Canis lupus familiaris: one gene and its partners. The protein of the gene in region 2 purifies or fractionates together with the protein of the main gene of each other region. This does not show direct contact. Links are inferred from orthologs where the notes say so. Each region holds a gene or a part of one and is shown on either strand. Other genes may lie near its edges. The genes, in order: ABI2, WASF2 and CYFIP2.

Region 1 (10,507 bases), on a different chromosome or scaffold from region 2:
ACTAAAAGGCAAAAACAGATGGGTCCCAAAGGTTGCTGTGATTATGGAGCTTTCCTTCCAAATGACGAGTCAGATAAATGCTCAAGAGTGAACCCTCAGCTGCACTTTAGAGCTGGAAATGTGAGACACAATTCATCATCCTCCTGCAGGGAATGACAAACACTTGTTAAGGAACACACTCAAGTGAAAAACTAAAGCTATTTTTTACACAGGGATAAGTTAAGTGAGATCTCAAGCAAAATTTTCAGAAGTGTTCTATTCTTAATGTGTTGGTTGTAAAACAAATCCATAACCCCTCCTCATTAATTATTTAGAATTTGCTTGCACAGCATGTCCAACTGCAATAAATACTACACTAACAGATTAGGAGTCCTTACTGCTTTTGTTTAAACTAATATATTAATTTTAAAAGTACTGAAGTTTAGCTTCATTAGTGACAACTTCACTGCTTCAAAAGAAAAAAAAAAACATTTCAAATACATTAGTAATGGGGTCCTAAAATTCTTTTTACTATTAAAAAAAAAGTGGGACGTGATGTAATGAGCATTGGATATTATATAAGACTGATGTATCAATGACCTCTACCTCTGAAACCAGTAATACATTATATGTTAATCAAATTTAAATTAAAATTTTTAAATAAAATAAAGAGTGGGAAAAGGGTATCCCAGTTCAAGGTAAATTCTACTTTTATATGGCCTCAGGTATACACTAAAACACTTCCATTATGGCATTCCACCCTTCAGCTTTTTATTCTTAAGCCTTTTGTAAAAATATCACCATATTATTTTCAAAGGTCTTACGAATTAAACTCTACAACTTGTGGGCAGCCTGGGTGGCTCAGCGGTTTAGCGCAGTCTTCGGCCTGGGGTGTGATCCTGGAGACCCAGGATTGAGTCCCGTGTCAGGCTCCCTGCATGGAGCCTGCTTTTCCCTCTGCCTGTGTCTCTGCCTCTGTGTGTGTCTCTCATGAATGAATGAATAAAATCTTTAAAAAAAAAAAAACACAACTTGTTCTCCCCTGTCAACTAAAGGAAAAAAAAAAAAAAAAAAAAAAACCAACCTAAATTTTTTATGAAAAGAACCATGAGCCCCCATGAGAACATGCTATTCAAAATGTTAAAAATTCAACTTTTAGTATGGAGGATTCTTTTAAGTCAAAACCCATGTGTCTGGCCTCAAAGTATGATCTTTGTTTAAAGTCTGTCTGAAAGACATCAAAAGTCTAACAGCAATAAAGAGCAAAAAGAGAGTTCACAAAGAACTGAGGAAATCAAAGAAGCAGATAATCCTACCAACAAACATCAGGAGACCTCTAGGGCACTTGACATAATCCACAAGTCTCCAAGATCAGTTGGAAACCACTGAACTAGTTAATTATCCAGTTCCTTCCAACTATAATATTTTCTCTTTAATATTTCTATTTAAATTTTTTAAATTTATTTAAATTTCTATTTAAATATTTCTATTTCCTACCTTAATGTATTAAATTATTCTATTAATCACCCTACTAAAACCACTCCTTTTTAAATACCAGAATAAAAAGAGAAATATTTGTTATACATTGAATATTTTTTCACTCTACTTTGTTTTGGTTTACCCAAAATTATTAGCAATGTGCTATAGGTTTACAGAGAAGGAAAAGTCACAAAGAGGGACAGGAAGAAAGAAAAGACAGAGTGTTGGTACATTCTAGCTTCTAGAATGAGTTCAGGGTACTCTTCTCACCAGGCAACACCACTCAGAGCAGAAACACCTACATAGAGCCACAGTACTCAGGAGTGAAGCTTTTGTATATTTGTAAAGATGTCAAGGAATCTTACCCAAGTGTGGTATATTTCCTTGCTTTCTAGGGGCTTATTTCCTACTCACTTTGGTGTATCTCCCACATAGAACAGATCCTGAATCCAAGAAGGTCAAAAAGGAATCATAGTACAGTTTGGAGGCATGAGCATAGGAAAGTAGCTTACACAAACTGGTCTAAACTTAAAGGGTTAAAGAACTGGTCCATTTCTGTGTTTTTTTCCTTTAGATGATCTTTCTGTGCACTTGTATCACTTTGAAGAAAACCCATCAATAGCCAAAATTTGAATGCAGCTTTTACAGGAAAAGAGCCAAGCTAGTTACACACTGCTTTGGGTCTACTTCTTTGTATTTTATGCAAAAGGAATCTCCTCAGAATTCCACATCCCCCACTTACCAAGACTGAGACATTCTACTCAATAACACAAGAAGTACATGCGCTCGACTCCTCTAGTCACATCTACCAGGATCTGTTGAAAAGTCTGTGGCCCTGGTTAGTATTAGTAGCTAGTTAATGATTCAGATCTCAATTATCTTCTTATCACTTTCTATACTGGAGACATGACAGATAACAGGGTTTTAGATAGTGTATTTGAAAAGAATTTATAAAGTTCAGCTAAGAAAATAAGAAAAAGGAAATTCATGCTCAGTTTAGTGAAAATGTTAGTAACCTTCTATTTAAATGTTCTTGAATACACTTGAATGTCTTTTACCATTAATTCTCTAAAATACTAAAATATAAACAAAAATCCCTAAAATGTTAGTGAAACAAGTATTTCTCTAATTCTTAATGTGAATTTTGTTAAACACTCATGAACTTTTGAAGTTTTGATATAATTAATACTCAACTAGTAAAACTCTTAAAGTTTATGTTGAAATATGTATCTTATATAGCAATTTGAAAATGAGAAACTAATTTTGCTTTTTGCAAAATACATGATACTGCAACTTAAAAAAAAAAACCTGTAACATTGAATATTTTCCATTTCTCAATTTCTTTACATTGACTAAGAGTCAAGAGATAATGACATACTGGCCACAAGGTGTCTAATAAAGCACACCATTTATAGAATAAAAAGGCTATTACACAGGGGGAGGGTTAAATAAAGCACATTAGTTGGCCCTCCAATCCATAACATAAATCCTGTATTTACAAAAGTCCAGCTAATTTTATTCATAATGACATTTTATAACAGGTAACCTTAATTTTAATTTCACAAAATATATGAACATTACAAAATACACATTTATTCAAAAATATTTACTAAGCACCTAATGTGTGCATCAGGCACTGTTGTAGGCACATAGGACAAAACTTTTTTGTGAACAAAACAGACAAAAAAATCTGCCCTCATGGAACATGAAGACACACCACAAAGTTGGATGACAAAACTTTTTAAAAATTAAAGAGGAATTATTTGTTGATTTTAGAAGGCCAAGTGCCAAATATCTCTTCACTCCCCATATGTAATATTCTACATAAGAACAAAGAATGGAAATCCAGCCCTGGAATCTCTTACCTTAAATCTAAGCAACCACTTAATGCATAAATGGAGCAAATAAAAGAGGTAAGGAAAAAAAGCATTGAAAGGTTAGTTGGAACTTCAGGATGTGAAGAGAAAGGAAAAAAAACAAAGAAAAAACAAGTTAAGCATTCAGCATTAAAAAATAATGTTTCAGTAGATCATAGAAAGAGTGGTCAAAGCAGAATGTGTCATGAACAGGAGGGTTTTTTTTTGATGAAATTATATGACATTGTTTTATTCAAAAACTTTAATAAAGATTTCTTCAAATTAGTTAGCCCTAAACTCTAAAAGCCCAAATAATAAAAAGGACTCCAGAGTCCCAAAAGAATAATATTTTACTTGAATTAAGTTAAGAATTAGAGTGGGAAGGAAACCATGTTTTTATTGTATAAGTGGGCAAGTACAAATATTATGTTTTATATTCTAAGTACCTTTTGTAATTAGATTCTGGCATTACCCTAAAATTATTTATTAGCAGTTATTAGTCTAGAATAAATCTCAAAATTATAAAATTTTTAATATTTCATAAAGTCAAATATCAAATTCCAGATAACAGTGCTTGTATCAAAATTCTGAGAAAGAAAAAGACTTAATTTACACTGTATGTTTTCTTTTACCTAGGTCTACATTAGATTTACATTTAACTGATTTCCAGGATACTAGTGTAGGATATTTTTTTAATTTAAATTTGCTTATATAGACATAAATCAATTGCATAAACTGTACAGTTTCACACATATGTATATATTCAAAGTCACATTTGAAGAGTCATTGCCCTTCAAATCACTGATTAAGATGAAAGCTTTAAGTAACTGAACACTTAGCTGAAGCTCCAAATAGTTTAAGTATAAATACCAATTTAAATCAAATTTATATGCACCTTAGTTTTGATTATGGTACTTTTACATATGCAGCAGATACTCCAATACATTTTAAAAGACAGCCAAAATATATAATGGCTACATACTCAAAAGCAGTGGAAATACTAATTCACATATTACTTTCATCTACACTACTCTCACCCAAAATGTTAAGATAAAATTATTTTAGAAAGATTCAAAGTACATGTTTGTTTATAGATGTTCCTTCTGAAAACTAACACCAAAGCGTTGCTGATAAATTTTTGAAATAAGGTGGATACTTAAAGAACATGCTGAGTAGTTTTTTAATCGGTCATACTAAGTCATTAAAAGATTAGAAAAATTAAACCACACTTATTTGCCCAATCTAGATGAGGTATCCTCATAGCTGATTAAGTAAATGCAATTCATTTAAAGGTGACTGTTTAAAATTTGAAAACACAGCACCAGGAAGAAGCAAGAAGGATAGAATAGTTATAGTATTAAAGAACCTTCAGAACCACAACTGGGCCAAAACCTGGACCTCCAGGAAAGAAAAGACAAAAGCTTAATTTTCTAAAGAGTTAGTTCCATTATGGACTGCTGTTTTAAAAAGGTTGACAAAAATTATACTTACCTTTACTCCATGTCCAATATCATCTAGAATTGTATAGTCAATAGGTTTTCTAATATAACGAACTGGTCGTTCAAGATTGGCTGGAGCAATAATCTTATGTGTCCTTGAAGTGTTTTTATTGGTAGTCAAAATACCAATCTCTCTTCTTGCAACTTTCTCTTTATGAATATCAACGGTCTGCAAAATATAAACACAAGACAAAAATGTAGAGTTCTAATCCCCAGAAGAATCAAAATATAAATGCTCAGACATCTAACATTATTATTCATATACTTAGCCCCAACTGCTAAATTTTGTTCTTTTTGGATCTACTAGCTTTCTCCATTCTTAGGCTAAAGCCTAAGGTTGGCAAATCATGGCTGGCCAACCAAATCTGGTCCACAAACTGTTTTTTATAACCTGAAGTTTTTTACAACCTGGGAGTAGTGTTTACATGTTTTAATGGTTTTTAAAAGTCAAAAGAAAAATAATGTCATGACATGTGAAAATCATACCGAATTCAAATTTCAGTTTCCATAAAGAAAAATTTTTGGACCACAGCTATTCTACTTGCTTACATATTTTCATACTACAGGGCAGAGATAAGCAATTAAAACAAAGACTGCATGGCCCGCAAGTCTAAAATATTAGGGGGTTCTTTACAGAAAAAAGTGTGCCAACCTCTGGGTTAAAGCATGCTAATTTTTTCCCAAGCTCCATTGCTCCATTAATACTCAAACTAATATATAATGACTAAGAAAGCTCCAGGTATTATGTTGGTTACATTTTTAAATAACCTATTAGTATAATTTCCATTGATGCTCAAATGCTTTTCTATTCTTAAAAAAGAGAGGCTTAAAATATAAATACAATGTTATCATCTTTTTACAAAAAAAATTAAGTTTGTGTATATTTTATCATGATAACATTAAAATATTTCATTAATTTATCCTATTTATTAAATGTTCACATAGGATAAATGTGTTTTTACTTGGTCTTCTATTTGTTGATAGCGAATTTCTGTATAAACATAGATAATTAATATCCCTAAAAAGCATTTCTCAAACAGCAGGTTGTAATTTAGTGGTATGTGAAAGGCAATTTTTTATTTTTTTAAATTTATTTATTTATTCATGAAAGACAGAGAGAGAGAGAGAGAGAGACACAGGCAGAGGGAAAATCAGTCTCCATACAAGGAGCCCGATGTGGGACTCAATCCCAGGACTCCAGGATCACGACCTGAGCCGAAGGCAGACGCCCAACTACTGAGCCACCTAGGCGTCCCAAAAGGCAATTTTTTTAATAAAAAAAAAATAGAAATATTAGACTATATATGCATAGTAAGTATTTTTTTCTTGAAATATTTGTTAAATATATATATATATATATATACATATATATATATATATATATATATATATATATATATATATACAGGAATTGATACAGGAAAAAGATACAGGAATTGTGTACTGGGTGCAACATAAAATATATTTTTTTACTGTGAGTTGCAGTCAAAAAAGTTGGAAAACACTTCACTAAAATTGTTCATATCTCTCATACTCTTCCTGGGCCAAGCAGCAATTAACAGACACTCATTCCTCCCCAGTCCTACTTCATTTTCCCCTTTCTGAAAACAGAACCAGGTAATAACATAGAAACGGAAAGAAAAGATAACCATTATGACAGTATTAAATATCACTATAAGTAATCTGAAAGCTGATTATCCCTCTAAACTATCCAAGGTATGAAGGGAACTTGAAACAAAAGTCTCCTATTTCAACCAAAAGATTTTAAAAGCAACAGTATCTATAAGCTTCACAACTAGTATCTAAATGAAGCATCAAATCAAAGACTGGCCAAGGTAGTTAACTTTATCATTTTAAATATTTCTTTTTAAGGCAAAAATAATCTTTGAGCTTTCCTGAGCACGTTAAGTAAAAATTACAAAACCTGCCTTCCTTTTCAACTACTACAGGAGAGCTGTAACAGAGAAACAGACATTTATACATTAGTGACAATATTGGTATTTACTTATTTTTAACTTCAGAGAAATAAAAATCTCATTTTAAATAATTTCTAATGTGTCATGCTGAATCATTAAAACATGCACTTAGAAATATTTCATATGTTTTAAGTATGCTTCAAAATAAACAAAACCAAAGAAAATATGGCACTTTTTTTGACACCTATTTTTTTTATAACTGGTCTTCACAATGTCAATAAAAGAAAATTTATCAGAGAATGTAATCGTCTTGAGACACTGTTCTTCCTCCAGTTTTTAGAAATGTAGTTATACTATTCAAAAAGGAAACCAAAAAAAAAAAAAAGGGAAACCATAAGAATGCAAACCTAACCAACCATAGAATTTTAAGCTTACTGCAAACTGAAACTTTAATTTCAAATTTTAATGGTGGAATTATTAATACATCTCTGTATTAATAAATAAAATGAGGGGGAGACCTGGGTGGCTCAGCGGTTGAGTGTCTGCCTTTGGCTCAGGGTGTGATCCCAGAGTCTCCGGATCGAGTCCCACATCAGGCTCCCTGCATGGAGCCTGCTTCTCCTCCCTCTTCCTATGTCTCTGCCTCTCTGTGTCTCTCATGAATAAATAAATTTAAAAATCTTTAAAAAAAATAATAAAATAAAATGGGAAAGCAAGTTTCCATATCTGCATTAATATAGTTACGTTTTATAATAAGCACATATTTTTTAACTGTGAAAAAATTAAGACTTTTTTTAAAAAAGCACTGAAAACATTTGATCATTTTTCTGGGGATTGGAGGCACTTACATATTACTTATAAGTTCTTCTTATATATGCACAAACACAGCCCAAACCTACAGACCATTCACTAAGGATAAAACAAAAACCAATATAGCAAAGAAAAAAAAAATCTCAGAATTATAGGTCTAAAGTGGGCTCTTACAACTTCCTGAGAGGGAAAGCAAAGTGCAAACAATAAACTATAAGAAAATACATCCCTTCATCAGGAAGGGACAATTTTCCCAGCACTAAACTCCAAAAGGAATTTTGGCTGGAGGAATTTTGAACAGAAAAATGTTGCTTCTTATATTCTCAGTTAAAAAAAAAAAAAAAAAAAAAAACCTCAAGGCATGTTTTAAAACATAAATCTTAAGAGCATAACATCCATGGAAAATCAAAAGAATTTAGTTTGGTTATATAATATTTCTAGTTGTTTACTCTAAAAGAATTCCTACATCTTAGAAAAACTAGACCAGGGTTTCTCAATAGTGACACACTTGACATTTTGGGCCAGATAATTTTTTGCTGTGAGAGGCTGTCCTGAGTATTGCATCATGTGAAGAAGTATCCCAGTAGACCTGTAGCACTCCTCCAAACCAAGTTGTGATAACCAAAAATGTGTGACATTACCAAATGTCTCCATGAGGGTAAGTGAACCAATGATTTAGCGGGGGTACTAATTCACTTGTCCTTACATTACACACTCTGAAATATCAATATCAATTACTTCCAAACTTCTTACAAGAGCTGACTTAAGATTAGTATTTCTAGTGACTAAGTATAGATAGTTGGTGTTATTAACTTTTTAAAAAACATCTATAATAAAATATAAGGTTAAGAAAACCAAAGAGCATAATTTGTATTCCTGCCATCCTACTACAACACTAAGTTAAACTGGAGGAGTTCTTGTTAACAAAATCATATCTATATTCAGAAAATAGCTATGTTTTTATGTGGAGTCTGAATAATAACAGAGAACAATGAATCTACTACTCCATTAGGAAGGAAGAGAAAGTTTGGTCCATAAGATTATGAAATTTTCAGCAATCACCTACTTCAAATTTTTCAAAGCTTTCTCTTGGGGAAAACCATAGTCAAATTAGAATAATAGAAGGAACACTCCTCTCTCTATATAGCTAATATCAGCATTTATCAACTTACAACTGTCAGTTTTAAAAGAATTTTTGTAAAGCTCCTATGATGTATTGTTTAATTTAAAAATAACATGAGTTAATACATAAAATCTTTAATATATACGTGTGTGTGTGTGTGTGTGTGTGTATATATATATATATATAAAACTACTGTTTTTTCCTAAATCTAACTCATTGCTTGCACTAACCACCATTGCATTTGCCTTCATTATATTCTTTGATGTTATAAAGCTAAAATGTATTAATGCTAAGTTTTGGAAGTACAAGTTCAACACTGATGCTTAGGAAGAATTTTATTTTATTTTTTAAGATTTTATTTATTTATTCATGCAAGACACAGAGAGAGAGACAGAGAGAGAGAGAGACAGAGACAAAGGCAGAGAGAGAAGCAGGCTCCATGCAGGGGGCCCGATGTGGGACTCGATCCTGGGTCTCCAGGATCACGCCCTGGGCCAAAGGCGGCGCTAAACCGCTGAGCCACCTGGGCTGCCCAAAGAATTTTAATAGTAAAATAAAAGTATTCCAAATTTGTCCTGGATTTTTAAAGTTACTAGTTATATGACAATAAATTTATTCTTATTTAGTAGAGATCTCAAGAATAGCGCTTATCCATGGCAAATAAAAAGCTTAATTAGCAAAGACCAAAACTAATGAAAGTACACTTCTAATAAACACCATTATTGTTCCTACCTGCTAACCAAAAAACACACCAAGTAATATCACTGCAACTGTGTGGACTATTATTATTAATAGATCCTTATTAATTTGTTTCTCTATCCTTCTCATTGTAGCAACTGCCAAGTTATGCAGTGCCAAACCCAAGTCCTCTAAAACACCTCTTATCATCACCTTGAGATAGTTATACTTGCTCCCAGCTCCCTTGCAAGCCTGAGACCCACTCCCACATCTCCTTCATACACAGGCCACAACAGATATCAAGAAGGTACTATATAAAATATTTTGTTTTAGGATTATCTTTATATTGTGTGTCCCATTAACATGGATAATTAAGAGTTGACTGTACTGCACAGCACTGCTTCAGACAGCTGACCATCAGTGTGGGAAAATATGTGCAAACAGCTACAGTGGACTAACTCAACTAAGTTGCATGTTTTCATATATGTCTTAATTTTTTATTAAGTTAATGTTTCATAAGCTTTTAATTGTTTAAATGACAAATATGCTTAAATATACTCATATTATTCACCTTTCATAAAACAAATTAGTTACTACTAAATGGTAATTTTCAGTTATTTGTTAATAAGATGATATAAACTATACATAAATTAAGGACTATATAAATCCTACTTTTTATGCATAACAACATACCGATAACCTTTAGTAGGATTTCCTTAATTTAAAATAGAATTTTGGGAGTGCCTGGGTGGCTCAGTTGGTTAAGCGTCTGCCTTTGGCTCAGGTCATGATCCTGGGGTCCTGGGATCAAGCCCCACTTTGGCTCCCTGCTCAGTGGGGCATCTGCTTCTTCCTCTACCCTGCCATCCCACTTGTGACCCCGCTCTCTCTCTCTCTCAATTACATAAATAAAATCCTTAAAATTGAATTTTTAAACAAGGCTATCAAGTTTTTTAAACAAAAAAATTACCTTACATGGTGAGTTCCTCAGGGTGTAGACTTTCCAATGCATTTTACTATCTAGTTCTTCAGAAGAATTTCTTCCCTTCTATGGCATTTTATAATAATCCTTTCTTATTTCTTTTGCTATTTGCTAACTACTTCAACACCTGGCCAAATAAGTTCTAGTCAACTCTTGGAAGGCTGGGAGGAACAATACTTTTTAAG
Region 2 (10,507 bases):
AAGCCACTCACACAAGACCTCCCTCCAGGGCTCGGCCACCACCTGTGGCTATCAGTGTCGGCCCCTTCCAACCACTTTCCCATTAGAGACAGAGACAGGCACAGACGCACAGACACACACAGACACCAAAGGTGGCTGAGCAGCTACAAAGATTTATCAAATTATTTAAAATGTTGGCATTTACATATTTGCACGTATAACATAAAATCGTTACGTGGAATCCTCAGGCCATGGGGTGCTAACGTGGTCCACACGTGAGCCAGCCAGGGAAACAAATGAGACCAGGCTTGGAGCCACAGGGCTTTAAAAAAACTGGACGTCCTTCTAAGCCTAAGAGGAGTAGGGCGAAGAGGAAAGAGTCACCTCGGGGGTTTGATTTAACCCCACCCTCACAGGTCTCTAACCCCCACCTCTCCTCTCCCACCCTGAGGGGAAAGGGACCCATTTCCAGACTGTATCCCTACTACATATACGCCCACTCCCTAAAATCGATGTGGCAAACACACCCAAGAATCCACTGGAATAGGTCCTTATAAATATATTTATATCAGAGAAAACAAGGCACTTTGGGAGCATTATAGCTCACTCTCCTACATGTACATCATTCTAGACAGAAAGTAAAAATTGGTTAGTTTCTCAAGTGAGTTAACTGAGTCAAGTTAATACAATAACAGAATTGTTCCCTAGCCCTCATGGAGGCACAGCATGAGGCATATCTCCTAGTGACACCTGGTCCCAGGTCTGCTGGACCCCAGTAGAGCTCAAAGCCTGATGACACCAGGAAGCCTGACATCTCTCCTGAGCAACAGCCCCTTGCCCTGGGGCACTGGCCCCCTCCCCAGGCCCTGAGGTCAGGTGAGGGGGGCTGCGGAGGGAGGCAGGCTGAGAGCGAAGCTGGGACACGGTGGGAATGCTTAAGCAGGGTCACCAAAGCCACAGAGACCTCAATCTGTCCAAGCTGGCGCTGCAGAGCCGGAGGATCGGCGCCACGGGAAGAGATTTCACATTAGCCCTGACAACACTGCCTCGGCTCTGCGGTGACATTGGCCAGGGTCGTTTCTGAGGGCGCTTGAGCTTCCGTTGGAGGCGAGCTGGAGCTTGGGCCAGCTGCTCTGAGCCTCCAAGGTATCGCAGAGCCTGCCCCCTCCCTGTGGCTGCTCCTTTGGAATGTAGTCATCTCACAACCGTGGCAAAGCCACAAGTCACTTCTGACACTGCCGACTGGAAGCTGGGTCCCTGGGCCACAGGAATGGGGGCAGGTCCCCTGGGCTGGGCAAACTAGGGAAGGGAGGTGGCTCCTTAGCTTCAGCGCTTTAGAGTCCTTATGAACTACTGCTCCACACTCTTGCCAGCCTCAGCCCAGTTTAAATAATCACTAAACTTTGCATTCTACAATTATAGGATTCCAAAGACGCACAATTACCTGCATAGGGTCCTTTATCATCTTAAAGGGCTCCGGGTTTAAAGAAGCATTGTGGGTTTTTTGTTTTATTTTGTTTTGGTGCACATATGCATAAATAGAGCCCAGAGGGCCTCTCAGCTGACTGGGTCCCCAGCCCCCCGAGCTGAGGAGGCTTCGCAAGACCGGCTGCTACAAAGCACAGAGCTTGGCTGCATAGATTTTAATGAGAGCGTCAGGCAGAGCTGTGCTGTTGCTCTCCGGGACTTGCAGATCATTACCAAACCAGCTGTAGGATGAGAACACAGCACATCGAAACCCTAGGAGGTCACTGAGCTAATGATCTAATCCTACCTTCCGCAGGCAGTGCCCCCCCTTCTGCCCCCAGCCCTTTCCAGGGCAGACTGTGTCCATTCCAGAAGCCAGGCCAACACCGCCCCCTTCAAGGTCAGAGCAGAATGATAGCAAGTGGCGCTGGCTCCCCCTTTTCCGGAAAGGAGGGGGATGGGGGTAATTTAGTCAAAGCCATTAGGCCCGAACCCTGGCCTGGCCAGGCCCCAGGACTCCTATTTGGGAGAACCACTGCCCTCCACCTGCCTCTCCGAGCCACTGCTGGGCTGCAGCCAGGGACACCTTCAACAGCCATTTTAGGGTTCTGAAGAAAGCACCTTCAGCTTCCTAAGTACAAGGTGGGAAGCAAGGTGGGGGGCACACACAGTCTGGTATGGCCAGCACGGAGCACGGTGCCCGCCCCATGGCAGACATCTGATCTGGGGAGGGCGGGGGTCCAGTCTGCAGTAGCCCCAGCAGGAGGGCATGCTGGCCCCTACAGGCTCAGTCCCCAGGATAGAGTTCAAGGAAAGAAGGCAGAGGGGGAGCATCCAGCCAGGGCACAGCGGTAGTACCCATGATTACACACTCCCCTCAAGCCGGAGGGGTTTATGAGGGCTTTGGCAATTACTACAACCATTTGCTGTGCTGGGTAGAGACAGATCCTGTTTCTCTTTGTTTCAGGGCTCTGAAAGCCGGAGAAGCCAGGAGAAGCCGGTTTCAGCATAAGAGGCTACACAATAGTTAGGGCAGAAGAGAAGAAACCTCACTGTTGGCCAAAGCTGACCAGTTTTTTTCTGAATAATAGCACCTGTGTATTAGCTCTGGGAAAAGGGGGAGTGAGGGAGGGAACATCACGGCACACAGTGAGGAGGGAGCTGGAAACAAGACCCAGAGCCCCTCAGCCTTTCAGCCCTCCTCACAGCTGCCAGGCCCCCCTAGGCAGCTACCTGCGGCAGCCACCAGCCTGAGGGACTGAAGTTTCTATAGTTGGCAGAACCTATGCTTAAATTGGGGAAATAAAAGGGGGACGAGTTGCAGAGGAATTGAAAGCAGCACCTGTCAAAGCTGCGTACCCCCTTCCTTCTCTCACTACCTTTGGTCCCCCAGAAGGGCAGCTCCCAAGGCCATGTGGTTCAATGGCGATAGTAAAGGGGGAGCAAAGAATTGTAAGACAGGCTATAAGGGTCTGAGCAGCACTGAGAGGCCCGGCACTGGCTCTGAGTCCTCCTCCTGGGACTCCCACCTATGGTGAGGTCTGGAGTAGTAAAGAGCCAAGACTGCTCTACCTGGACTCCTCCAAGTGCCCACTATTTGGTCGCAGAAGGCACAGGTGACTTGGAACCAGGAATTCTGGGCTCTAGAGTTCTGTCACCATCCAACTGTGTGACCTCAAGACCTGAAGCAAATCATTTCCCAGCATCATTAAGAGGGTAGGATCCAAGGAGTTCCATCATTCTTCCAGTTCTGCAGTTCCGAGTCTCTAAGCTTGGCCCCTGATGGCCAACAGAGGTCCAGATCCCTGTCAAGGCTAGTTTGGTCATGGGTACTGGAGGTTTGAACTGGGCTCTGGTGCCTAAAGCACCTGGTAGTGAGGGAGGGGTATTTAAAGGACACTTGAACACCACACTCTGCAGAGAGCCTGAGGGGAGGCAACAACTTCAGCCTTCAGAAAGGCACCATTTCTGGGTAGAGAGGGAGACACTCTTTAGGGCCTGATGGCTCCTAGAATAAAGCGCACCGAGACAGAGATGGCTTAGCAAAAGGTAGCTAGCTCACCCTGCTGACCACGGCACAAAGGTGTGGCAGTCTGGCTGCTAGGGCATGTGGCCTGCTCTGCCCTCTCAGCGCATGGGAAAGGGGCCAGCCGTGCCCATGCAGGCTTTAGGACCAGAAGATGGCTGGCACTATTTGAAGGGTAAGGATTTTGGAAGGAGACTACAGATGAAAATGGCTCCCAGAGGAAGATACCAACTCCAATCTAAACCCAATCAAAGGGATCTGCTTTGGAGTTCTGCCTTCTCTTCAATATGCAACAGTCACTTGAAGGGAAGAGGGAACATCTCAGCTACTGAATCTCAGGAGCCCCCATGGGGCCTGTCCATGGGGAGATGGGAAAATGTATGTTGATTTGGAGGAAGCACTTGGATATATCTTTGGTTGCTTCAGGGAAGACTTTGGCCCCTTGAAATTCTTTTTTCCTCTTTCCCCCCCCGCATCAGACTGTTGGGATATGCATCAAAGAAGGCAGCAGGAGGAAAGAAAAAGGAGGAGGGCAGCAGGCAGAAAGAGTTAATCCGACCAGTCGTCCTCATCAAACTCAGAGGAGTCATCTTCTGAGTCGCTGTACTCCACGGCAATTCGACGTGACAAGATGGTGGCTACATCGTTGCCCACGACATCTCGTTTCTCTTGTTCCTGCTGCTCCTCAACCTTGCGCAGCTGAAAGCCTGATGAGATAGAGACAGAGAGAAGGGTTCAGAAGGTGAGTGGGTCTCCAAAGGTCTGGGGATCCACACAGGACTGAGGAAGGGGGCGTGGCCAGGGGTGGGCAGAGTCTGGGAAGGTGTGGGGATCCTCTGAAAAAGTAAAAAGGGAAAAGAGAAAGCAAGAAAAGAAGTAAAGATGAGGGTTTATCCAAGCCAGGCCCCAGTGCCATAGGCATGTTGGAAAGGAAGCCTGCCATTCTTTCCATTTCCACAGGCTGGTGAGGATGGCACTTCTCAGGAGGCTCTGAGTGGGGAGTAGCCACCGAACTGTACCCACTAGGCACTCAGTCTCTCTGGTTCACTGATTACCACTGAGCCCAGCTGCCCCAACTGGTCTCCCTCAGACAACCCCTAGTTCCAGGAGTCTCGCAAACCGAAGAAACGACTTTAAACCACTGGAATTAGACCTGACCTCTGAAAGAAAGAGAATAAATACTCCACAAGGGTGAGATGATAAGGGAGGGCAGGAAGGTGGGGAAAAGGGAGGGAAGGAGACAAAGAGGGAATAGGAGAAAAGGGGGAGAAGGACGGGGTGAGAAAGGGGAAAGAGAGAAGGGAGGAAGGGTAAGAGGACAGGGCATGACTGGCCAGAGAAGTATCTTCTAGGGCAGTGATACTTGGTTTTCTCTGGGGCACAAAATGAAGGCAAACAGAGGCAAAGCCATGTCTTGTCAAGGAGTTCAAAGACCCCAAGTTAAGAATCTCTTACTTTACTTATTTAAGGTAATCTCTACACCCAAGGTGGGGCTTAAACTCACAACCCTGAGATCAAGAGTCACCTGCTCTTCTGACTGAGCCATCCAAGGCCCCAAGAATCCTTATTTTATCTATTTTGTTTTTATTATTTTTTAAAGCTTTTATATATTTATTTGAAAAAGAGAGCACAAGCAGGGGGAAGAGCAGGCAGAGGGAGGGGGAGAAGTAGACTCTCCACTGAGCAGGGAGCCTGACTTGGGGCTCAATCCCAGGACCCTGGGATCATGACCTGAGCCGAGGGCAGATGCTTTGGCTCAGGTGCCCCAAGAATCCTTTACTTTAAACTAAGATGGAAAGAAATCTAAATCTCTGTATTTTCAGAGTGAAGCCTTTCTTTAGGCTGATCTGAGGCCTGAGGTCCCTCCCAATCTCTCCCCACCCAATGAAAGCTATCCCCTGGGAAGGGCATGGAACCCCTAGGCCACCCTCTAACCAGTCATCTCGGCTGTAGAAATTGACAAGTGGTCCTGGACCCAGCACTGGGAATTACCTTGACGTATGGCTGAAAGTAAGTCGCTGCGGGCATCACTCACAGGAGGCAAGGAGGACTTAGGCTTGGTGGCATCAGAAAGTGGTGGTGGTGTGACAGGCTGGACATTGGGACCACTGAAAAGGAGAGGAGGGGGCCCCGGGGGAGGGGGAGGAGGGGGAGGCGGAGGTGCACTTCCTATTGGTTGGGACAAGGGAGGTGGTGGCAGAGTCGGGTAGTCAGCTGCAGGCGGTGGGGGAGGAGGTGGAGGGGCAGCAAAATCGGGGTGAGGTGGGAAAGATGGGGGTGAAGGTGGTGGTGGGGTCCCTGGAGGCCCAAATCCTCCAGGCGGTGGAGGGGGTGGAACGCTCATCATTGGAGGTGGAGGTGGAGGGGCAGGTGGTGGAGCAAACCCGGGTTTGGAGCCTGGTGGAGAGCCCAGAGGAGGAGCTGGTGGTGGATGGCTTGGGCTGACCACACTGGATCTTTTGGGTCCAGCTAAGCCAGGCCCTCTTTGGTTGCTGTCTGTTGGGCAGCTAAAAGGACAAAGAAAAAAAACCCACCATCAGTCTCAGCACGCAAACATCCACCTCTAATAAAGCTTATCTATGAGCCTAGGTTTATTTTGGTTGTCTACTATCATTTCATTTTAGCTCAAATAGAAAAAATGATCAGAACAGACCAACAATGCAATAGGAAGCCTTGTAATGCAATGAAGCTTCTCATCAGCAGAGGGATATAACCAGTAACTGAGAAAAGCTATTTGTTTTTTTTTTTTTTTAATTTTTATTTATTTATGATAGTCACACAGAGAGAGAGATCGAGGCAGAGACACAGGCAGAGGGAGAAGCAGGCTCCATGCACCGGGAGCCCGACGTGGGACTCGATCCCGGGTCTCCAGGATCACGCCCTGGGCCAAAGGCAGGCGCCAAACCGCTGCGCCACCCAGGGATCCCGAGAAAAGCTATTTGAAAGAAGTTTACACTGGGTTCCTCTATCAGGTAAGGGTTGGCTGAAGTCATTTTCTAGGTCCCCCCTCAAACTTTCCAGCTCTCCAAAGGAAGGCACCCTCCTGAACCCTCCATTAAGAGGGATAGTCAGTTTTATCCTGAAACCAGGAGCAAGAAGGCATGCAAGAAGAATTGGAATAAAAATCTAAACATTACCCACCCACTGGGCTCTATTACTCAGGCTATTATCATTTACCAAATCTTGTGAGGGCAGGAAACCCAAGCCAAGCTAACCAAAGCTGAGCAGAGTACAGATTTAGGTAAATGCACCTTCAGTGCTCACGTGGAAAAACCTGAAAAGGGATGACGATCTGAGGGTCAGCAGAGATGGGAAATGAATGTGCCACCAGACTTTAACTGGGTTGAGAGACGACTGAGTTGTACCTTTCCCAGGTCACATGTGCTTGGCTGTGGCTGCAAGGTCTCAGGCCATGTGTGAGGCTGAAGGATTTTTTTCCACCTTGGTACCTGCCCTCCACTAATAGTTACTTCTTAGAATAAAGCATCCATCTTGGGATTTTCCATAGACCTTCCAGCCTTGGCTGCATGTGATGGGGCAATCAGCGGGAAGAGATCTGGGATGAGTGGTTTCAAGAGCCAAGAAGAGTGGATCCGCGTGAGGGGAAGGGGTTATAGCACTGCTTTAGGTGTCCATCTGAGGGGTCCTCAACATATCCAACCTCTGATTCAACAGAGTCCGAGGAGAAAACTGTACCTTTCAAAGCTCTCATTTGTCAGGCATCAGAAAGGGCAAAGTAACGGAGCAAACACTGAAATCTGAATACTCTTCAGATCTCCATTCAGTCGTTACTTTCTTTTTTTTCTTTCCTTTTTTTTTTTTTGAAAGATTTTATTTATTTATTCATGAGAGACACAGAGAGAGAGGCAGAGACATAGGCAGAGAGAGAAGCAGGCTCCATGCATGGGAGCCTGATGTGGGACTCAATCCCAGGTCTCCAGGATCACACCCCAGGCTGAAGGCAGGCACCAAACCGCTGAGCCATCCAGGCGTCCCCAGTCATTACTTTCTAACTCTTCCCCTGTATACCTCTGCCAAACACCAGTACCAACAGAGTCTACATTTGATCTCCCTTTTCCCTTTGTTTCATTCTTTCTGGAGATCTATCCAGCAGTGAAATGAACCAGAACAGGGGAGGAAGGTAACTGCTAGGTTCCTAGATAACAGGGCACAGTGTCTGCTAAATACTGTAAGGATGGCAGATTATACCGCTTCATCATGCCATGCTCAGTTAAAGCTAGGTAAAAACAAGAGATATGATGGTGATCTCCATCTGTTCCAGTATAACTAACAGTTAAAAATATGGGCTCTGGGATCCCTGGGTGGCTCAGTGGTTGAGCGCCTGCCTTCGGCCCAGGGCCTGATTCTGGAGTCCCAGGATCGATTCCCACATCAGGCTCCCTGCATGGAGCCTGCTTCTCGCTCTACCTGTGTCTCTGCCTCTCTCTCTCTCTCTCTCTCTCTCTCTGTGTGTCTCTCATGAATGAATGAATGAATGAATAAATAAATAAATAAATAATCTTAAAAAAAAAAAAAAGAATATGGGCTCTGCAGACTGAATGACCTGCTTTCCAATCATGGCTCTGCTTATGACTGGCTGTGTGACCTTAGGTAAGTTCATTGACCTCTGTGTGCCTCACCACTTACTCATCTGTAAAATGGGTACCTACTTCAGGAGGACTATTGTGAAGATGAAGCATCATATACAGTGTTTGGCATAATGCCTGGCACCTCACAGACACTTAATAAAATGTTAATTATTTTTATTATCTACACAGACTTGACTCAAGTTATTTTATTGGTCCTGCCCTGGATTTGGAACACTTATTTTTTTTTCCTTAAGATTTTATTTTTTAAAGTAACCTCTAGGGCACCCCAGGTGGCTCAGCACTTTAGTGCCGCCTTCAGCCCAGGGATGATCCTGGAGACCCGGGATTGAGTCCCATGTCAGGTTTCCTGCAAGGAGCCTGCTTCTCCCTCTGCCTGTGTCTCTGCCTCTCTTTCTCTGTGTGTGTCTCTCATTAATAAATAAATAAAATCTTAAAAATAACAATAATAATAAAAATAAAAATAAATAATAATCTCTACACCTAACACAAGTGCTTGATTTTCATAACCCTGAGACAAGAGTCTCACCCTCCACTGACTGAACCAGCCAGGGACCCTGAGGTACACTTATTTTGTTTTTGAGTGTGTAACCACCCAGAGTAGACAGGAGAGATTGCACCATTTACCTGAATTCTGCTGGTGGGGGAGGCAAGCTGTCCTCAGAGAAGGAAGGAGAAGGCGGAGAGGTGGAGTCTGACAGCGGTGGCGGTGGGTAGCTGCTTCTGTCCACATTTTCAACAGAGCCAATACTGCCATTCTGGTACACCAAGGTGGGTGGGTACCTGACAATGAACCCAATGTCAAAACTGTCATTTCAAGTGTGACTGGCACTTCTCAAGTTTTTTTAAGAGACCCTACAAAAATGCATTTGGTACAAAAGCGTTTAGGAAGAAAGAAATATTCCCCACATGTTTTCTGCTGTTCGGAAATTTTACTTTAGGATTAAATTCAGGATTAAAATTTAGGACTAGGGATGCCTGGGTGGCTCAGCAGTTGAGCGTCTGCCTTCAGCTCAGGGCATGATCCCTGGGTCCTGGGATCGAGTCCCACATCTGTCTCCCTGAGAGGAGCCTGCTTCTCCCTCTGCCTATGTTTCTGCCTCTCTCTGTCTCATGAATAAATAAAATCTTTAAAAAGAAATTTTAGGACTGAATTCTGTTGTATTAAGTATCTCCCAGATATTCCTGCTGGATTCAGAGAAATGGGATTCAACCCAGCCAATCAAAAACCATGCTGTTCCTTTCCCAGTGCAGGTTGGCCTTGTCAAACCCAGCAGTTCTTTTAAATTCCCTCCCAAATGTTAAGAGCAGCCTAACTGCTCCCAACTCCCAAAGTCAGTCTTGAGGCAAAGGGCAAAGCCAAGCCCCAAGGCTAGTGAGCTGCAAACACGTGACTGGCACACAGCCTGGTTTGGAGGTCAGCAAGCCTCTGGAGTACTCAAAGGCCAAGGAGGCATTTGATTGCAAAACCAAGCTGAGGACAAATGCAAGTTGCTGTGTGGTAGCTAGACTCGGTCTCCCTGCCAGGTCTCTTATCCAACACTACGAGCTGCCAATTTAAGTAGGGTGCTTAGGGCCTGTGCCTCATAAAAGCCTGTCCCTCAGAGCACTGGGCCTTGGGTGAACAACAAATTTCCAAATAACACATGTACACAAATAGCAACTAGCAAATATGGTTGCTTCTGTTCTACCTCCCCCTTCTCTCCACCACTGCTGGGTTCTAAAGAACTCCTTTCAAACAGACCCTGGAGGGAAGAGAGTTGGAGAGAACTAAAAATCAAATGATGCTCTGATGCAGAAAATCCCCAAGGCCTGGAATAGGCTTGGTACATCTCTTTGTAGGTTTACCAACAAGCATACCCAGGTAGACCAGCCATGTAGCCCAATCCCAAACTTCTTGGACAAGAGAAAAATGGCAAGCAAAGTCTTCGTTTTCACCGGCCCCATTCCACACACACACAAACCAAACACGTAATAATTGGCAATCTGAATGCGCGAGGTTCTGGCCTTAGAGTCACGGAACCTAGGACAAGGCCTGTCTGAACAGGATGGGACCATGGAACCAAATGGCCCCTTTTACTGGGAGGTAAAGGTAATGAAGGTACCCTCAGGGCTGATTTCTTGACAGAGAGAAAGGTTCATTTTTTTCTCTTACCATCTTCATCACTCTTTAAAACAAATCTCTTAATCCAAGAAGAACAAGTGTCAGAAGTGTCAAGATTTTTTAAAGTCAAGATTTTCATGGTAGAGTTATTCCTAAAAGCAAGAACAACTCAACTCTTTCCTTTTATCATTCCTAGACACCCAGCATGGGCTGGCATGGTTCTCTGACAGCCAGGATGCAAAGTATTTAGAGAAAAAACCAGGGCAACATTCATGCCAAGCAGTCGTGGTGACTTGGCTTTGAATGTCACACAGGTCAGACACC
Region 3 (11,247 bases), on a different chromosome or scaffold from region 2:
ACTTCCTGGGAAGGTAAGAAGATCTAATACAGTAATAGATAGGACAGAGCTGTAAAAAAAACAAAAACAAAAACAAAAAAGTAACATTAAATAGGTAGGCAGGAAGGGAGGGAGAAAATTCTACTTCTGCAATAAAACAAAAAAGCCATGAAGGAAAGGAGATAAATCAAAGGACATTGCCTAGCTCTCTTGTGACCATCATTTACACATCTTAATAATATAGATGCTTTAAACACGACTAAGGTTAAAACAGCTCTCCCTATATCAGGAGATGGGGACAGGGAGGGAGGCAGATGGTGTAAGAAAGCCAAGCCTTCTTCTATCACAGCAGGAAGTAAATAGACAATACATAGAACAGATAAATCAAGAAACGGCAGCGTAAGCATATCCTTTCGAGATGTGGAGACAAGTGCTGGAAGAAACAGTGAGTTAGAAGCGACAGCATCTACGGGGAGGTGGGCACCGCTTGGTTGTTCTCATCACGCACCTCTCAGTACTCTTTGATCTTTTTAAAGCATGTATCGCTTTGATTGAAATTTTTATATTTACTTTCAGAGACAACAACCCAAGGCCTCCTTCCCAGCATTTCCAGGGACATCTAGCCAGTCCACAGCATGGTCTCCAGGTGGCCTTCGCTACCTAACTCCCTCGTTGTGGGGCTTCTGGGAAAAAGGCATCATCACCGGCGGCTTCTCTCCACACAAGGGACAGGAGGTCAGAGCAGAGAAGTCCATGTCTTGGGGCCTCTGGAGAAGGCCTACCCTCCTGGTTGTTTACAGCAAAGAAAAAGACCCTGGCAAGGTTAGAAACCTTGCCACTGCTCCTGCCAGCCAGTTCTACTCAGCTGCTTCCTGTGTTGTCAGGGCTGAGGGGGCCTTTCCGTTGATAACCCAACTGGGCAGATCCCATCCTCTTGCAGGCACCGGGGGTGGGGGTGGGGGGCACACGGTCAGGCCAGGGAGGGTGGCCTGTCAATCTGCTCCCGCTGGGGCCTGTGACAAGCCACCATGTGAGGGGCACCAACGTGACCCATATCCGGAGATATGCTGTGTCTCAGAAGCACCTGCTAAAACTCAGGAAGGGAAGCCAGCCACGCTGCATCTGCTGTGGAAACAGAGTGAGACTGTAGGTTCAGCCCCCAGAGCAGAGCCTGCGGGCCTCAGTCTCACGGATGTGAAGGTGCAATTTGGTTGTGGCTCACTCTGAAAACTGACTTAGGCCCTGGAATCATATTTTCACTCATTCTAAAAAGGCCATTTCCTAGTCTGTAAAATATGGAAGCTGCCTGGGCAATGGTTCTCAACCATGATGTCAAAACCTCCATTGTGAAGGTTCTTGTGGGCAACTTTTACCAGTAATGGTTTATGTAGTGAGGTGTGCAAGCAATGTGCTTTTTTTTTTTAATTTTTTATTTATTTTTGATAGTCACACAGAGAGAGAGAGAGAGAGGCAGAGACATAGGCAGAGGGAGAAGCAGGCTCCATGCACCGGGAGCCTGACGTGGGATTCGATCCCGGGTCTCCAGGATCGCGCCCTGGGCCAAAGGCAGGCGCTAAACCGCTGCGCCACCCAGGGATCCCCAGCAATGTACTTTTTATTGTGTCTTTGGGAAGGTTCCAACTGCTCCTGTGCTATCATTGCTTGCATGTGTATCTTTCCCTGTGTGGGAGAAAACGGGGGTGGAGTGGGGAGGGGACTGGCTGTGGGTGTGGTGTGTTGAGCTCATCAATATTGTCGATCATATTACTAAAAGAAAGAAAAAAGAGTGCAAACCCAAAAGCAACTAGTTAAGAATCACTGGACTTGAGACTATCTCAGGGCCCTTCCAACCAGAAAAAAAAAATATGACATGGACAGTAGATGGAGACTCCATGCAAAGGTCTTCTTTTAAGACCATAGTTCTCCAACATGGATACCACACTGGCCAGGATGTTTGGAGTGCCATTAACCTGCCCATGGACATTCCTGCCTTTGCTCCAACTCTCTCCACTCTCCAGTAGACTCTCCTCTCCCCTTCTTGAATCCTACCCTTAACCACTGTCAAGGCCCAATTCAAGATAGGCCTCCTTCATAAAGGTCTGACCAAACCCCCCCAAACTTTCATTTCTCTGGATTCTAAAAGTGGACGAAGAGTCTACAATTTCCTACTGCATTATAAATTGATTTATATTTCACTAATTCTTTGGATCACCAAAAACAGGAATGGTCATCTTTTTTTTTTTTTTTTTTTTTTTTTTAGATTGACTCATAGCCTTAGTACAGATCCGGGCACATGTTAGGCACATTTTATTTACTTAATAAGCACGATATGAACAACTTGCTGAATGCATAAGCCAACGACCCAAAACACATATCTTCTGGTAAAAACAAATTTTTTAATTTAAAATATTGTGGTCCTCTAAAGCATCATATCTAAGTCAACCTTCCTACTATGAAGACTTTGAAGAGACTTCTTTAGAAAATTCTGTCATGTAGTTTCCACCTTAAGACACAGGTCCTTATTTCTCTTTCCCACATGAAGGTATAACATACTTGAAGGCTGGTGACTGACTCCTAGTCCTGATTTCTTTTCTTGCATTCACACCTTGCCAAAATCTGTCTTAAGGCATCACAATTTAAAAGCACACATTGACTATCTTTCTCAGGTATCCCTTCACTTAACACTGAGTTACTGAGTGTCTTCTATGAGGGTCAGCCCTACAGATTCTTTGGTCTCAGAAAAGTTAAACAATCCTCTCATTCATCCCCCAGTTGATTTCTTATTCCACCCACAGGGGCAGCTGTTCCAAACCTCCGGAAGTCTCCTGAACTCTCCTAACCAGTCCACCACCTTTACTTTCTGTGGAGGACCTCATCTCCTCCCTTATTTAGAAGACAGAGACCATACAACATGGACATACTAACCTCCCTCGATCCTACGAAGAGATTAAAGTCTGAGAACCACTGCTCTAAGATGACCTAATGATGATGCAAACACACAATCAAAAGGCCTATTGATGAAGTCATCACTGGGTCCTTCTTGGGTATCTCTCCAGAAGGTCATGTTTACTTTCCTTTCTCCTTGCACTATTTCTGAGTTGCTGGAAGTCTCTCAAAAATGCCACTTGGCCATAATGGTCCCTGTAAGAATTCTTAAAACAATTCCTTTCAAGAATCTTCCTCTGTTGCCAGGGCCCCAGAAGTATGGCTTGAATGGTCATCTTTTGAGGCACACCACACACAGCCCTTGGCATAATGGCCATGGCCAGGAAGCCAATATCCAAACTCTGCATCCTGGGAGGCGTCCCACACCCACCAACTGAAATCTGAAGTGTCTTTGTACAGACAAGGCCATCCAGGGGCCTTGACAGAATCTGGGAATCACAAAGTGCCTTTCAGTTTCCTTTTGGCTCAATGTTACAGAGAGGCCACAGATTTGTCTTCTTAAATTGACACACAATATATAATTAATAAATTGTTCCTTTAGGAATAAAGGGCAGTCATCCAAAAGAGCCACACATTCAGAAACCTCTTTCTCTTCCCTGTTTCCACGGCCTTTCTTCTAAGACTGGGATTTATAGACATTATCTCATCTGCAGGCTCCTGTGGCAACAGGTAGGTAACAAGCAGGGCAAGCTGCTTTCCCTGGGCTAATTTTTAAAGTCAGAGAGGTAGTGGAGGATTTAAAGGCACATGGCAAGTCAAGGATAAATCCTGTGTCCGAAGGCCACTGCTCTGCTCTGTCTGCCTGGGAAGTGAAGCATGCCCTTAACATTTTTGGCTGGTTGCAAAATGCTAAATGCACACAGGAGGAAAGTTCCTTCCTGACCTTTGTTTGTGTGTTGAAATGTGAGAACTACCTCTGGGCTTCTGCTCAGTATATTTCTTCCCCTTCTTTCTGCCTACTCAAGTTATACCCACCTTCAGTGAGCTACTCAAGAGCTACTTCCGACCTGAAGCCCTTACTGATACTACACCTTACCACTCTTTTGGTTAACTTTTGCAGGTAAACCTGCAGGGGCTAGGTTTCTTGGTCACAGAGCCAACTCCCCTGGGAAAAGCAAAATCCAGGAAGCCCCTGGAGGTAGGGTTGGGAAGGGCTATGGGTTGACTACACACATGAACCGTATTCTTAAATATATAAATATAATAGCACTTTATTATGTACTAGACATTCTGCTTAACATGTTCATGCATCCCTCATTCAATTAGAGCATCCAGTATTGAATACCAGCTCCTTCCCCACTACCACTGACCTCCCAGTCACTGCCCAGCAACATGCTCTACTACCAAGGCAGGGTCTATCCTCTATGCCCTAGACATGGGTTTGCTCTTTAGAAGGACAAGACCAAAGGCCTGTTACAAAGACTCCAATGAGGTGACTGATGTCTTGTTTCATCAACTACGAGTGAATAATTAATACTTGCTAGTAAAGAAATAGATGCATTGTTATGGTGGCCACATGGAGGCTACAAAAGGCCATTTTGTGAAGCTCTTGGTAGAACCCTGGGGCCAACAGCAGCCAAAAGAAACCTCTTTGAGAGTGTAGGCCGATTCTCAAATGTAGGGACTGGAGCCCTGTACTGTTTTCCAGGAGTGCTGTTTCCAATGCTAATTAGCTCATTGCCTATTCATCACCTCATTCAGCTTGCTGGTCAATGACAGCAGAGAAGGCCCACTGAACACCCAAGAGGGCACAATTTATCAGAGGGTACATGTAGTGTTCTCCTGGGGCCCTTTTCCAGATTTTATTTTATTTTATTTTTATTTATTTTTTTAATGATATATATATATATTTTTTAAATTTTATTTATTTATGATAGGCACACAGAGAGAGAGAGAGAGAGGCAGAGACATAGGCAGAGGGAGAAGCAGGCTCCATGCACCGGGAGCCCAACGCGGGATTCGATCCTGAGTTCCCAGGATCACACCCTGGGCCAAAGACAGGCACTAAACCGCTGCGCCACCCAGGGATCCCCCCCTTTTCCAGATTTTAAATTTTAAATGCCTACTTCCTTTTCTGGGCCAGCCTCTGATTTGATTCGAGAAAAAACTCTTGAACTCTCTTGGATCATATACCCCATTCTTGGCCTAACGGCTAAAGCAAGTTTTTCAGTTTCTACTTTCAGCAGAGACTAAACAGGGCAGGCTTGGGTGCCTACAGAACTGGTCAGAACTTACCAGGAAATATAATAACGAAGCTTAGTGAGCTGACAGCTAATGCCCCCCGCCAGAGGCTCAGTGTTCAGAACTAGGCAAAGCACTGGCTTTGTAAGCAACAACACACTCTTCTTGTGGCTCAGTAACTGGCCAGGCAGATGGCAGCCAGTACCACTGAATAACTCTCTATAGCAAAGTTTCACCTCCCCCAAGTGGATACTGGGTGCACCACAGATACCTTCCAGTGCCAGGAACCCCTGGACAGTTACACAGACACACACTCCAATGGCATTTCTGCCCCAGCAGCAAACATTGCTGACAGATGCTAGATACTGTCATTTCAGTGACTGTTCCCCAACATTGCTACCCAGTTCCCCATTCCCACTTCCAGTCTACTGCCTGAAATTCCACCATTAGAGATAGCAAATAGGTTGACTTAAAGCTTTGTTTTCCATTCAAATGCCTCCCAGCCTCTGTTTCCTTTCCAGTTAAACGACTTCTAAAGGACCTGCTCTGCATCAAATTTCAAATTCTTTTGTATTTAGCTCTTAAGGATAAACATGTTCACTGGCTCCTCTCTTGAAAATAATTTTTGACATAGGAGACTAGGGGAAGCACAGAACATGGAGCTGGAGCTGGAGATGGGAGGCCTCAGGGAGAGTCACAGAGAAAACTGCCTCCAAGGCCTCTGCAATCCTGCCCAGGGATATGGTCCTAGAATTTTGCCCTCCAACATCTGTGATCTCCAGGGTTACCGGCATGGCCTCCCACAGGGCCAGTGCCTAAGGGTAAGTAAGATAAGACAACCTGCCCTAAGAGGGACAGGGTAGGAGTTAGAAAAGAGGAGTATGAGAACCAGCACTCTGATTTGTCCCTCATGCCCGCAGGACTGCCCCAGTCTCCTTACCCATGCCAGGAAGGCACAGGCACCCGAGAGCTAGCTGGGAAAGACCCCTGCCACCTTCTTGTCCTGGCTGGAAGGGGAGCAGATGGCCCATCAGCTCTAGGTGAGTGCTTCGGCTCAACTGGAGACAGTAGGCAAGCAGAGGTCAAAGGCAGGTTCCTGGAGCTGAGGAGGGCCAGGGCAGTCCCAGGGTCCTTTCCTGCCAGGGTCTCCGCAGTACAGAGAACCGTCCTCCTGTCTGACCGTGACCAGGCTTCCTGCCCCCGTCCCCACCCCCACCTCTAAACAGAGAGCACTCCCTCCTCTTCCTTTCCACCCATCCATCGAGGGGGCGGGCTGTCCTGAAAAGCAGAAGCCACAACAGACAGGTAGGCGATCCTCCTGATGTCTTCAGGGCTCAAGAGAAATCCAACCTTTTCCCCAGGACTCGGCGCACTCGTCCCCTTCCCCGTGTCCTCCCCCGCCCACAGGCAGCCGGGAGGCAGAGGATGCCAGCGTAGGCCCGCAGGCTTCCAAGCGGTCCGGCTTCCTCCCGCCTCGCTAAAGCCCCGCACCCCCGGTCGCCGGCGGCCCCCCCGCCCCACCCATGTCGCGCCCAGCGCAGGGCGCTGCTGTCCCCGGCGGCCGCCAGGCGGGCCCACGCGCCTCTCGCTGGCCCTGGAGGAGGGGATGGGCCGAGGCGGCGGAGGCGGCGGCCGGCGCTCCGCAGTACCTGGGCTCCGGGGGTCGCCGCCGCTGGGCTCGCGGCCCCCGCAGGTGTCTCCCGGCCGGGATCAGCGCCGCTCCGTCTCCGGCCCGCGGCTTCGGCCCAGGCCGCGCACCTGCTGCTGCCGCCGCCGCCGCCGCCGCCGCCGCCGCGCCCGAGCTGCGTCGCGTGTCCGCGCCTCCTCGCCCCGGGTCCGCGCCGCGGGGCCGGGATGGGCCGGAGCCGGCAGGGGCCGCGCGGGGCCTGCAGCCCTGCCCCAGGGGCTCCGGGTCCCCCAGGCCGCGCCAGCCGGGGCGCCGCGCCGAGCGCCCCCCCTCGGGCTGGGTGGAGGGGCGCCGGCCCCCCGCGCATCCTCGCGGCCGCACCGGCGTCCCCCGCAGCATCCCGGCGCCCAGGCCGGCGCCCAGGCCCGCGAGCGCCGCGCCGCTTACCTGCGTCGGCGGCAGGTCCAGGCGAGCGGCCCGAGGCTGCCGGGGGCCCCGCGCCGGGGCGCAGGATGCTCTGCCCGCTCCGCCCGGCTCCGCTCGGCTCCCGCGGCCGCCGCGCTCGGCCCCGCCCCCGCCCCCGGGCCCGCCCCGCCCCGCCCCGCCCCCCGCGCCCGGCTCGCGGCTCGCGGCTCCCGGCTCCGGCTCCGGCTCCTCCCCCGCGCGGGGCCGGCCCTCCGCCGCCGCCGCCGCCGTCACACAAAGAGCAGGAAATGGCTGCGGCGAGGGGCTCCCGGGGCGCCCGACCTGCCGCGCGGCTCCTGCCCCAGGACGACCGGCCGCGCGGCCCGCGTAAGGGACGGAGGCGGCACCTGCGCTCAGGTCTCGCTCGCCGGGAGCCACACCTGCCGCCGGCGGGGAGGGCGGCCCTGGGCTGCGCTCGGAGCTCATCGACCTCACTCTCTATTTCCAAGCGCTCATTTATCTACCTAATATTTATTGAGCAGCTACTTTGTTCCGAGCCCCGTGCCAGAAGCTGAGTATGCACCGGTGTACTGCCCTTTTGGAGCTTCTTGCCTACCAGGGGAGATGGGGCACGCATTAACCTGGCCAACGCGCACTGACAGCGGGAAGAAGTGCCGTGAAGGAAAGAACCGGGCAAAGTGATGGGAAATACAGCTGAGGCTGGGGCGAGGGGGCCCCAACCCATTGATTCTGGCCCCCAGTGCCGCTCCTCTGCTCAGGAATACCTTCTCCGGACAAACATTATATGTTCTCATTCATTTGGGGAATATAAATAATAGTGAAAGGGAATATAAGGGAAGGGGGAAGAAACGTGTGGGAAATATCAGAAAGGGAGACAGAACGTAAAGACTGCTAACTCTGGGAAACGAACTAGGGGTGGTGGAAGGGGAGGAGGGCGGGGGGTGGGAGTGAATGGGTGACGGGCACTGGGGGTTATTCTGTATGTTAGTAAATTGAACACCAATAAAAAATAAATTAAAAAAAAAAAAAAAAGGAATACCTTCTCCGTTCCTTGGAGCCAACCCCCGGAAGGTGCCATCTCCTAAGGAGGCTCTGCCTCGACTTCATTGAGGGAGAATTGCCTAATGGACAAAAGGGAAAATGCGTGGCAACAGGAAGCCTTGTTCTGCGTTGAGGGCTGTTCAAAGGAACAGTCCTCACTGAACTGCAGCCTCGTGGGCCCTCAGATCCAACCTTGAGACCCCCTACCCAAGTCACTTCAACACTGTTCCTGAGAAGCCACTGTGTCTATAACGTGAGGGTAATGCTTGCCCTTCCTACTTCACAGGGTAAACACTGGAAAGCATTCGAGACGTTTTAAAGTGTGTACAGATACAAAGAATTAAGTCCTGTTACAAGGGAAGCTTTCTGGAGTGTTTGCCCAGGGCCCACAAATTTATACTTAATCACTCAGCTATTCCTATTTAGGGGCTAATTATAGAGGGGCGTATTACTGGAGTCTCTGGCAAAGGACTTGAGGAATCTTTGCCCTCATGGATCTCACACCACTTCCCAAACCCTCAGAATTCATGATCCTTTATGGTTTGATGTTACATCACTCACTCCAATTTAAATTGCTATTTCAGAAAGGATGACTTATATATATATGTACACACACACATTTCTTCCCTGTGAGAAAGCTGTGGAGGTGTTTGTGGAGGATGGCTTTAAAAACCGAACTGAGTTTCTCTTTTCTTGCTTGCTTGCTTTCATTCTCCCCTTCCTTCCTTCCTTCCTTCCTTCCTTCCTTCCTTCCTTCCTTCCTTCCTTCCTTGTTTAATTTTTCATTTTCCACTGTGATCCTTAGTTTTTTGAGTGTCAGTGATTATGTAACAAGAGAGATTGGATCTTCATTCTAGAGGACATACTATGTTGGATGTTGTGGATTTCTGGAAGACACATTTCCCCTGCTACTCCTTCCTTGTCTTTTCACCTTTCAAGAACAAGTTGCTTAAGAGAAACAAAAAGACTATTGCATATATATTTGGTTAGATGTTAGGCAAGAATAATTCCATGACCCCTGATTTCCATTTGCTTATAAGGGGAAGCAGTATGGTGTCGTTCAAACCGCTGTGTTGGAAATCCAGAGGCTTGCCTTTTGGTCCCAGTTTTGCAAGTAAGTGATCCTAGGCAAGTCACTTCACCTGTTTCCCCATCTATACAGTGAAGTAAGTTGGATACATTCCCAAATCCTTCTACATGTAGAAAATCACATGAATTAAAGGGCATGCCCCTAACACACTTAAAGCACTTCACCAGCTCTCTATTGTTCTCAGTATGGAGCCCAAACTCCTTAACTAATGGCCCACAAGAGTCTTCATAATCTATCATCTACCTCTCCAGTCTCTACTGCTGTGAGCAAGCTCTCTATGCTTTCAGCTAAAAGCAATCTTTTAGTGTCCCAGATTTGCTGTGTCCTCTTGCATTTGGCCTTTACCTAAGCTGGACTTCTTGCTTGGAATGATCTATCCTCCTTCCCTCCCTCTTTTGCACATGCCCCCAGTTTGCTGCCTAACCTCTATTTGTCCCTCTGGTGTCCACTTACCTGTCTGTTCCTTCAAGCTCCCTCCATGTCTGGAGAGACATGTTAGGCTAGTGTTAGTCACCTAAGCTCCCCAGAGCCCCCTGGGCTTCCTCTATCATCCCCCTTGTTGTGCGTGTTGTCACTGAGGACATACTTGCCTGCATACGATCATTAGAGCATAAAATCGAAGAGAGAGGGATGTGTCTTTCTTCTCATTGCCTCCTCAGAGACTAGTACTTAATAGGAATTCGGTAAATATGAGTTGAATCAATAATCAAAAGTAAAATCTTAGTATACATGTTGCCAATGAAATGTGTAGCCATCTGTCTACTGCCTTCAGATATGCTTCATGTCCAACCCCCGGCTGCACCATCAGCAATGAGAGGATTGAAGCTATCAGGCAAAAATTGCTTTCCCACTTGTAAAGCTGTGGCCCACGCACCGTGGTTTCATGTGTGGCAACACTGCCTTGTTTTTAGAAAAGTCTCAGGTCACTTAGGACATCCAAGTCTCCATTTAAAATTCGCAGATTCTCCTTCATAGAAACCAGTACTAGAGTATCTGGAATGGATATAAGGATTGGTTCTGGAGACAGAGAACGTAAATATTAATGTTAACAATAATGGCTAAAATGTTTTAGAATCAATAATAATTGTTTTCAAAGTAGGCTCCTGGCCCAGTGTGGAGCCCGCACATGGGGCTGGAACTCACGGCCTTGAGATCAAGACCTGAGCTGAAATCAAGAATCAGACACTTAACTGACTGAGGAACCCAAGTGCCCCTAGAATCACTAATAATTTTTTTTAAAGATTTAATTAATTAATTTATTTGAGAAAGAGAAAAAGGGAGAGAGTACAGGAACACAAGCAGGGGAGGGGCAGAAGAAGAGGGATTGAGAGAATCCCAAATTCAATCCGTGCTCAGTATGGAGCCTCCGGCAGGGCTCATCTCAGGACCCAGAGGTCATGACCTGAGCTGAAATCAAGAGTCAGAGGCTAAACCCACTGAGCACCCAGGTACCCCTCAATAATAAATTTTTAAAACAAGGAAAAGGGTATGAGATGGAGAGAAACTGTAAATAATACAAAAGAAGTCACTAAGTGCAATGGGCTTGCTACATGCAGTAGGCTCACACACTGGTGCGTGTAGTTAGCAGGAAAAGAGAAACTTGATGGTTTGTTTTGCAATTTACGTTGTCCGTAAGATAAGACCTGAGCACTTGCTCAAAATTGCCTCATTTTACAGATGAAAGAACTGGGGCCCAGAGAGGGGAAGAGTTGCCCAAGGCTGGTTGGACCCAGACCCAGGCCCTCCCATAGGAAACTGGATTGTCTATTTCCTTCTTTGAATATGGAATAATTTGTTAAAGCCTATGTTTTAAACTAACATTTATGAGATGTTTATTTGGGGCTAGCCTCTATGCTAAGTACTATCTATCTATGGATCGGCTCGTTTCATCCTTACGAAATCCTAAGAAACAGCCCTGTTATTTTATAAATGAAACATCGACAATGGATTTGCTGCT

What was found.
Region 1: the proteins of WASF2 (region 2) and ABI2 purify together in Homo sapiens (affinity purification with mass spectrometry; 3 studies listed by BioGRID and IntAct, counting the BioPlex papers as one, with this or other methods). This does not show direct contact. The link is inferred for Canis lupus familiaris from reciprocal best matches to the Homo sapiens genes WASF2 and ABI2.
Region 3: the proteins of WASF2 (region 2) and CYFIP2 purify together in Homo sapiens (co-immunoprecipitation; 3 studies listed by BioGRID and IntAct, with this or other methods). This does not show direct contact. The link is inferred for Canis lupus familiaris from reciprocal best matches to the Homo sapiens genes WASF2 and CYFIP2.

The regions. Positions count from the first base shown.
Region 1 is NC_049258.1:12,085,154-12,095,660, reverse strand, and holds part of ABI2 (abl interactor 2), read right to left. Parts: intron 9,648-10,507; exon of another isoform or gene 9,496-9,647; intron 4,983-9,495; coding exon 4,806-4,982; intron 3,342-4,805; coding exon 3,324-3,341; intron 2,297-3,323; exon of another isoform or gene 1,742-2,296; intron 1-1,741. UniProt on the Homo sapiens protein: Regulator of actin cytoskeleton dynamics underlying cell motility and adhesion. Functions as a component of the WAVE complex, which activates actin nucleating machinery Arp2/3 to drive lamellipodia formation.
Region 2 is NC_049223.1:72,258,671-72,269,177, reverse strand, and holds the end of WASF2 (wiskott-Aldrich syndrome protein family member 2), read right to left. Parts: intron 8,863-10,507; coding exon 8,707-8,862; intron 5,980-8,706; coding exon 5,465-5,979; intron 4,180-5,464; coding exon 4,022-4,179; 3' UTR 133-4,021; downstream 1-132. UniProt on the Homo sapiens protein: Downstream effector molecule involved in the transmission of signals from tyrosine kinase receptors and small GTPases to the actin cytoskeleton. Promotes formation of actin filaments. Part of the WAVE complex that regulates lamellipodia formation.
Region 3 is NC_049225.1:53,773,020-53,784,266, forward strand, and holds the start of CYFIP2 (cytoplasmic FMR1-interacting protein 2), read right to left. Parts: upstream 7,288-11,247; 5' UTR 7,181-7,287; intron 1-7,180. UniProt on the Homo sapiens protein: Involved in T-cell adhesion and p53/TP53-dependent induction of apoptosis. Does not bind RNA. As component of the WAVE1 complex, required for BDNF-NTRK2 endocytic trafficking and signaling from early endosomes.